Linked DNA regions of Oryctolagus cuniculus. The protein of the gene in region 1 interacts with the protein of each later gene in a biochemical or structural test. Links are inferred from orthologs where the notes say so. Each region holds a gene or a part of one and is shown on either strand. Other genes may lie near its edges.

Evidence for each region.
Region 2: the proteins of RP2 (region 1) and ARL3 form a complex in vitro, tested with the Homo sapiens proteins (2 studies listed by BioGRID). The link is inferred for Oryctolagus cuniculus from reciprocal best matches to the Homo sapiens genes RP2 and ARL3.

What each region holds. Positions count from the first base shown.
Region 1 is NC_091453.1:32,375,667-32,380,230, reverse strand, and holds the start of RP2 (protein XRP2), read right to left. Parts: upstream 3,008-4,564; 5' UTR 2,822-3,007; coding exon 2,720-2,821; intron 1-2,719. UniProt on the Homo sapiens protein: Acts as a GTPase-activating protein (GAP) involved in trafficking between the Golgi and the ciliary membrane.
Region 2 is NC_091446.1:27,272,314-27,276,819, forward strand, and holds the start of ARL3 (ADP-ribosylation factor-like protein 3), read left to right. Parts: upstream 1-1,484; 5' UTR 1,485-1,493; coding exon of another isoform or gene 1,494-1,496; 5' UTR 1,497-1,593; coding exon 1,594-1,617; intron 1,618-4,506. UniProt on the Homo sapiens protein: Small GTP-binding protein which cycles between an inactive GDP-bound and an active GTP-bound form, and the rate of cycling is regulated by guanine nucleotide exchange factors (GEF) and GTPase-activating proteins (GAP).

The DNA.
Region 1 (4,564 bases):
CAAGGGAACTTTTCAGGCAACCCATTTTGTTTTCATATCAAAGTATTACAAGTTGAATGGTAATTGTCTGATGTAGCCTTAAAATTGTACATGCTATACTCTATGACCACATTACTGAAGCCTAATCTTTTAAAACAAACCATTTCTGTGAATACACTTTCAGCATATCTCACTTATGTTCTCTGGGCTGTATTTGTATCTGATTTCTTCTAAGGTATAAAGTCTTCTAGGAACAAGCAAGACTATGCACAATAGAAGTATAATTGGATTAATATGAAACATTTGTACACTTGCTCAAATAGACCCCATGGGAGATAAGGAACTAGGAAAAAAGACTTTGAGATCATATAAAACTTAACAAGCTATAATAAATGAGGCATCTTTAAGAGAATTCCTAGTAATTCCAAAAGGAAAAAAAGGTCCAAAAAGAACAGGCAATGTTGGGATACAGAGTATCTTCATTGTTTCAAAAATGTAAATCGACTTGTTTTCAGAATACAAGGTTCATTTAGTTAGAAAATTTTTTTTTTTTTTTTTTTTTTATTTTTTTATTTTTTTTTTTTTTTTTTTTTTGACAGGCAGAGTGGACAGTGAGAGAGAGAGACAGAGAGAAAGGTCTTCCTTTGCCGTTGGTTCACCCTCCAATGGCCGCCGCTGCAGCCGGCGCACCGCGCTGATCCTGGCAGGAGCCAGGAGCCAGGTGCTTTTCCTGGTCTCCCATGGGGTGCAGGGCCCAAGCACCTGGGCCATCCTCCACTGCACTCCCTGGCCATAGCAGAGAGCTGGCCTGGAAGAGGGGCAACCGGGACAGAATCCGGCGCCCCAACCGGGACTAGAACCCGGTGTGCCGGCGCCGCAAGGTGGAGGATTAGCCTATTGAGCCACGGCGCCGGCTCAGTTAGAAAATTTTTGACAGTTGAGTTGATCAAGATTTTAACTTCTATTATACACACACTCAAAAGCATGAGCTTATTTTACATATCCATTTCTTGTATCTCTGCAACAACAGTACCTAGCAGTAGTCTCACAAAAATGTTCCCTACAAGTTCAAAACAGCATCTACAACTCAAAGTTTTCTACAGGTTCATTTTGGGGTGGGGGTGGGGAATGCTTAGATGCTAGAGTTTGCTGTTCTTTTCTTTAATGCATTTACTTAGCTAAAGAGCAAAAGAAGGGAAAAAAAATCACAGAACACACCTACTTACCTTAAAGAGGGATTAACAAGGGAGCCCAACTAACCTGAACCTTATGTTAATACAAGTTAACTGTAAGGCAATTTACTAGGAAACGATGAGTCAACCAAGGCAACCAAGACTACTACTATAAAAAAAAATAAAAGCACTTTAGTTTTAGCTTATGACTTGAAAACAAAAAGCTAAAATAAAAATAAAACACAGCTTTCTGTCAGATAGTTCAAGCTTAAAGAGCACTGTTAGAAATCCTAAGGCTGAGGGAAATGAATTTTTTAAAAACCACCCACCAAACAACTTGAAAACATGGGTGCAATCTTCTTGTGAAGTCCAACAGACATCACAGTACTTTTGTTTCCTGTATAAGGCTCATTCAGTTAGAAAAGTTTCGAGAGTTGAGTTGATTGAGATTTTAACTTGTGTTATACACATACGCAAAAGCATGAGCTTATTTTTGCTATCAATATCATCAAATGCTGCTACCCAGTAAGGATAACAGGTGACACAAGTGGGGTCTGAGAACAGGAAGACAGGGCTAACAAGTCTGGAAAGAAAAAGAAAAAAAAAAAAGCATCTACACTCCTAAATCTGACATCTTCTGGAGAACCGAGTTTACACGAATCACTACTGCTGGGGATTGCACCTCAACACAAAAAGTCTATGATATCAAAATATTAATAAGACACTTACTATAAAGCAGTCTGGGGGTAAAGATCTGGTGCTAAGCTAAACTGTTCCTAACGTTTATTAAAATAAATTTCCCACTTGGAAAGAGAAAGGCAATGAAGTCTATCAAAGCATTTTACTAAGCACAAATGGAGAACTATGTAGAAAGAGGAAGCATTATGAAATGTATGACTAAGTGTGTTTTGTGGAAGACCAGTGGACGTTTTGAAAACTTTTTTGTTTTCTGGCTCTATGAGTATACAAAAGTCAAAATTAAAGCGTTTTCCACCTTACACACATTCCAAGGCTCACTCCATTTTCATCATTGCTTCCGGGTAACTAGACGAGGAGGAAGAGCAACGCTGGACTTTAAACTTAGTAATTGAGAAAATTCACCCGGCCAATCTGTCATGAGGCACCAGAGATTTACCGGGGAAAGCAGACAAGAGAAAACAGCCACAGAACACAAGCCGCGAAAGAGATGAGTATCAGCCCCATGTGTAACTCGACCACTGGGCAAAAGCCCGCTCGGCGCGGCCGCTGGGATAAGGTGATTTGAGATTCAGGGCATTCTGGGCTTCTTCCCTCCCTGGAGTCCATCCTCAGACGGGAAGTCAGGCCCGTCAGGGTGTGGAGCTGAGGCATGCCCCAGGGGTCCATCGAGTTGGACTAGGAACTCGGAAGCCCCTTCCAGCGCCTGGCACCCTACTTCACGCCCACCTCCCACCCCACCCCCAAGTGGTGCCGATTTCAGCTGCCGGCTATCGGGAGAGAGCGGGCGGCAGGCAGCAGTTGGGTCGGCCCCCCCGAGCGCTGCGGAGTCGTAAGGGACCCCCGCCGAGCGGCTGCAAGACTTGCGTTACCTTCTCACGCTGGTCCCAGCTGTACTGCTTTGGCTGCTCCTCCTCGCTCTCGGGCCGCGACTCCTTCTCAGTCTTCCGCCTCTTGGAGAAGAAGCAGCCCATGGTCCCGTCCTGTGGACCTAGCTGGCCGGCTCACTTAGGAACTTCTTGAGGTGTGCGGTGAACCCTGGCGTCCCGGACCCCGCAGCTCGTTGGACACCGCCCAGCGGTCCGCAGCCTCACTTCGCCCGCCAGGCCCAGCACCCCTTCTCTTTTTCCCCTCGGTCTCCCGGACGACCCAACCCAACCAATAGCCACTGAGCGCCCGTTGAACCAATCAGAGTCCCGCTTGCGGCTCTCCGCGGCCTATGAAGAGAGGCCGACGTACTCACACACCAATCCACGCCCGGGCTCTTTCGTCAGCTCCCGGCGGCGGGGCTGGCCCTCTCTGGCGCACGTACAGATGGCCCCACCCCCAGCTCAACCTCGTCCCGCCCCCCTCGTCCCCCTCGCCTCTGCCCCGCCCCGCCCCGGGATTCGGTGGGGTTCTGTCTGTGGGGAGGCTGAGCTCCCTATCCGGGTCTTTTTGCCCCTAGTTCTGTTTCCAAGCTCTAGACCCGGGCAGGATGCTTAAGTTAAACCATAGACTTGTTTTATGATGCAAGTTATAAGGGAACAAGAATTCTTGCTGGCCTGAAATTCGTGTCCTCTTCTGCTCATTCCTCTTCTCATCACAGTCCTTACATCCCCTGGCCAGAGCTGCCCCCTTAGGAGTCTTCTCCCAGAACCCCCTCCACCCTCTTCTGTGCTTTCTTGAGACATCCAGGCAGCGCTCTAAAAGTGCAGAGATACTTAGTAAAATAATTAAGTGTGGTCTCCCTATTAGAACGGTGAATTTCTTGAGACTGAAAGGCATGTCTTAAGGACATACACCTTCGAACCCTCTAGCCTGGCCGAAGTCCATGCTAAGTGTTCCATAAAACAGTTGTCAAATGACTCCATGACTGAATGCTGTGCACAATAAGGAAAGAAGCATTTATAACTTTTCCCCTATCCATTCTCAAAAAAGTGATCAAAGGAGGGGGAGGGGAGCATGTGACATGGTAAAGATTCTTTTCAAGGAGTTTATAGCCTACTTGTGGACATTAGCATTGCTATACAATCAGATCCGTTCTAAGCAGATGGTATAGGAGTTGTCCAAAAGTACTTTACAAATATGAGTATTGACATCAAATATTTACATCTGTTATACTTGGCTTGAATTTCACTACAATGCACACATATTGCTTATGTAACAGAAATTGTAAATTGCTTTTTCTGAGGTATAGTATTTTTACATCTTGCTAGGACATCAAATGCAGATCAGTTCAGATTCAAATTTGATTATCGTGGAGCCTGCATCGTGGTGTAGTAGGCTAAGCCTCCACCTGCAGCGCCAGCATCTCATAAAGGCTCAGGTTCATATCCTGGCTGCTTCTCTTCTGATCCAGCTCTCTGCTATGGCCTGGGAAAGCAGTAGAAGATGGCCCAAGTCCTTGGGCCCCTGCACCTGCATGGGAGACCCGGAAGAAGCTCCTGGCTCCTGGCTTCAGATTGGCACAGCTCTGGCTGTTGCAGCCAACTGGGGAGTGGACCAGCAGATGGAAGGCCTCTCTCTGTCTCTCCCTCTATCTGTAACTGCACCTCTTCAAATAAATAAAAACAGTCTGATTATCTTTTTACTTTCTCAGTTACTCACATCTAGTGTGTATCCTAAATGAGCCTCTGACTTAAGCATTAAGAATGTTCCCCTTTTCACTTCCTGTCCTTTATTGCACAGTTAGAAGAAAAGTACATGTGGTTGTATTAGAAATTACTGTAAATTTA
Region 2 (4,506 bases), on another chromosome or scaffold:
GCCACAGCAGAGAGCTGGGTTGGAATTGGAGCAGCCGGGACTTGAACCGGCACCCATATGGGATGCCGGCACTGCAAGCTGGGGCTTTAACCCAATGCACCATAGCCCCTGGCTTTCGACTCCAGCTAGCTCCCAGGTGGGAATCCTGTATTGAGTTCCTGGCTCTGGGCTTCCAATCAGCCCAGGGCCATCTTGCGCATTCTGGGAGTGAACCAATGGTTAGGTGTTCTTTCTCTTAAAAAAGAGCAAAGTAAGCCCTTAGATAGTGCTTCCTTTGCGGCAGGCAATGCTCTATGCATCTGACAGATAATATTCATAATTCACATTACCCTCACTAGAAACCGCTGAGGTCACAGGCACACACACGCACATTAGCAAGCTTCCAGATGTATCATTTGCCCCCAGACTTTATCAGCTCTCCAAAAGCTCTTGGTTTCCATCTGTGATGTGTCCCTCCCACCTGAACAACTGTGTTTAGGAGCAAAGTAAACAAGTGTGTCCAAGTCGGTCCAAGTCCAAACTCGCCATCTGCAACAATCAATTTCTGGAGTTGTGCGGTGAAAAGCAGTTCTCTAGGAAAGGCGACATTTCCATGAGGGCAGACTGTCCACCGCAGTGTGCCGAGATGCGGGCCTACCACTAATGCACGTGCTGAGACTTACACGGACGGGGTGGGGGCGGCGCTTCCCAGCTCACCCAGAACCCGTCTCTCTGCCCCCTGAAGGGAAGTGCAGGCCCGTTTTTGCCTCCAGGTCCCAGCTCGGGGTTTAGAGCGGTCAGGAGGCTGCCCCCGGCCCTCCGACCAGGAACCTTCACCCGCAGGGACTCCCTGTGGAGACGACTGCACAGCCCCTAACCCCCACCCTTCTGCCCGGCGCTCCATGGCAGCTAGAATCCGAGCAGTGGCATCTGCGAGCAGCTCTAGGCCACTCCTTGAACCACGTGGCTTCTGCAGGTAGAAGTCTAGCCCCCACCCCAGCCCAGCGCAGGCGGAGTCAGGACAGAACTCCCAGCCCTCCCGGGACGTGGCGACTGCAAACCGCTGGGCAGCCTCCGCTCAAGACCCTTTACCTGGCCGCAAGAGGGATGCCTGACACAGCCGCCGCCAGATGTAGCCAGCCGCTGCAAGCCGGGCCAGGGTGCTCCGCCTGCCAGGGCCAAGGGACCGCCTTCTCGCCCGCCCACGCCCCTCCTCCTGGCCAATCAGGCACCGGGAGGCTCCCGCCAGCCACGTGGGCGAGTTTTCGCCGTTCCCTGGGTCTCCAGCCCCCTCTGCAGCGACCCCGCCCGCGCAGGGGCGGGCACCTCGGCGCGCTTGCGCACTTTGGAGAAAGCGAAGCCGGACCCCGCCCAATACGGCGGCTTTGCTCCTCCGCTGTGCGTGCGAGGGACGTCGGGGGCGGCGCCGCGGCAGTTGCCCCTGGTAACGGGGGAGGCTGCAGGAGGAGGAGGAGGAGGAGGAGGAGGAGGAGGAGGAGGGATTCGGCGGGAGGATGGTGAGTGTGGGGACCCGGGCCCCTCTGCACCCGGCCGATCACCCCCCTCCCCGCTCCAGGCCCAGGGCGGAGCCCCGCGCTTAAAGCCGAGGAGGAGATGGGAAGGCGCTCAGCCTGCAGTGTGGGTTCTGGATTCGCTTTGAGGGGCGGCGGGAAGCCCCGAGGGTGGGCCCAGAAGGGAGGCCTGGGCTTAGGGAGGAAGGCGGGGCTTGCGACGGGTCCGAGGCTTGGGGAAGGGGCTGGCAGAGTTGGTGGCTGGCCGGGTACCGAGCCCAGGCTCCATCAGTGCCCTGGTGGCAGGGATGAGGGCAGATCCGGGGAGCTGCGGAGCAGCCGCCTCCGCACGCAGGCTTGGATCACCCTGAGACTCGGCCTCCTCGCGCTGCAGGACGGGGTCCGGGCCCGCAGCGGGGAGAAGGTGGGCCCGCGGCGCCGGGGGACGGTAGCCGGGCTTGGGCCCCCGGGGTCCGATTCCCAGGACAAAACGAGGTGCGGTTGGGATGCCTGGTGGGTTCCACGCAGTGTCGGCGGCTGCGTGGCGGGGGCGCTTCTGAAATCCCGAGCTATTTATTCATTTGCTCAGAGTTCCACAAGATCCGGTTGCTGATGACCGACGATTCGTTCAGTCCTTAATCTGTGTGGATGGAAACAAATTGGCTTCCCGGCCCCTACCATCTCCTTGGAAACCTGTTGCAACCCCGTTTTGCATGTGGCCACACCGGGCCCCAAGGTCTTGATCCCCACGTGGGGTCTCCAACCCCACCTCCGGCAATGAGGGAGGGAAGCTAGAACTGGAGAATAGGCGTGAGTGGGGCGAGCGTTTCCTCTGTCAACCCTAATTAAGGCTGTGACAAATCGCACTTTTTGTGTGATGGATTTGACAGTTCCTTGTTGATTTCTGTGCGGTGGCATTGAGTGACTTTTGAGCTAGTCGTAGAAAAATCGATTTGTTAAAGATTTCGGAGCAGCTTGGTTGGTTTACCAAGTGCAAAAAATCCAGTAAAGGAAACTTGCAGTAACTTTCCACCCTGCCCCCTTGTTCCTTTCTGACCTTTCGAATGTTGAACCATTACTATTAATTTAAGAAGTAAGAAAAATCCAGATGACCGGGAGGAGAGAGTACATGTTTCCCTTTGGTCGATTATCCATTGAGTAAATTTTGATAGGAAGAAAGAGCCTCAGTTGATTTAACATTGTCATATCGCTCCCAAAGCAGAGCTACTTGATCTGACCTTGCCATCACACTTCGCACTTGCTACATTTGTAGCTTTTGAAACCTCAGGCTAAACAGATTTTTGCAAGTGTTTTCTTTTTAGTAATCATTTATACATGAGCAGTCCACTTGAAGGCTAGGTTTTTCTCAACCTATGAGTGCAAACATAAATATTTACACAGAAAATTCCTAAAATCGAAACAAAAAAAGGCATGTCAAACCACCAGAGAGTGAGATTTGTCATTATCGAGGACCGCACCAGGTGCACATTGGCACTGTATACAGATTGACAGTGTGTACACAACACTGTTGTATACAACTGTTGTCAATAATCAAAACAGATTGGGGGTTTGTCTCTTCCTTTTTTCTTAAAATGAACAATAAGAAAGTAGAACAAATTATTCTGGATTCTTTATCTGGTTACCAAATACACTTTTTTTTTGGTCTATTTCTAAAAGAGTGAGCTATTCTTAGGATTGGAAGTAGAACACTGAATTTAAATGGTCAGTGATGTAATTAAATATGTCACATCTGGTATCCCCAGGAGCCCCATGCTTCACTGTACAACTGAAAACTGAATTCCAGGTTTGGAGCTTTTTTTGTTTTGTTTTGACAGGCAGATCTTAGACAGTGAGAGAGAGAGACAGAGAAAGGTCTTCCTTCCGTTGGTTCACCCCCAAATGGCGCACTGCGCCAATCTGAAGCCAGGAGCCAGGTGCTTCTCCTGGTCTCCCATGGGGTGCAGGGCCCAAGCACTTGGGCCATCCTCCACTGCCTTCCCGGGCCACAGCAGAGAGCTGGACTGGAAGAGGAGCAACCAGGACAGAATCCGGTGCTCCATCCAGGACTAGAACCCGGGGTTCAGGTGCCACAGGCGGAGGATTAGCCAAGTGAGCCGTGGCGCTGGCCAGTTTTGAGCTTTTTTTAAATTTCAGCATCAACTGATATATTTAAAAAAAATTCAGGTTACTGCAACCATTATTGGTTTCTGTGAACATTTAGAGTCAGCTGCATTACTCTTGCCTTATGATACCAAGTTCTTGAAGAAGTACCAAGATGACAGTAATCTTAGCACATAACTAATCACTGTTATTTACTGTGTGACTCCATGCAGTAGCTATTTGGGGATTGCTTTCCACCCCTGTGGAGCTTGGGGCAGTTGTCAAGCTTATTCAACACTGAAAGCTTATTCCCAGCAGTGTTTAAGTTTTCTGGTCTGAAAATGGTCAGTTAAGGAACAAAAAGCCCGCAACTACTGTTGGGAGTGCCTACCATGTGGCATGCTTTCTATCTGTTACTTCATTTAATGCTCTTGGCATTTTTTTGGGGGGTGTGTCTATTGCTGTTCCCATTTCCTAGATGAAAAGATGCCCCAGGTTGTGTGTGCTTGGAGAGGGAAGTTGAATGAATACAAATCTGAAATCTTGAACCTCCTAGTGAGGCCCACCCTGGCTGAGGAGATGCCTGGGAAACCTTGTGTTGTTATTTAGTAGAGTGGTGATGAGAAAGATGACAAAATGTCAGTGAGATTTTCCCTTTCAAAGCTGTAGAAGTTTAAAGAAGTAAGAATAAGTAAGTAAAAATGGTCAGTTCCACTTAAGCTAGTCATTGGGAGGGGCCGTCTTTGAAAGTTGGCTTTGTAATTTCAATATGTAAAATGTTAGCTCATTTTCCATACTCCAACACATCCCTGTCCCCCTCCACCACTCCAGTCTCTTTGAGTGACCTAGTTTGTAGCATCATTTTAGGTCAGCGTGCCATGCCTCTGCCAGTAGCTGAGTTTAAGCTGATTTTAAG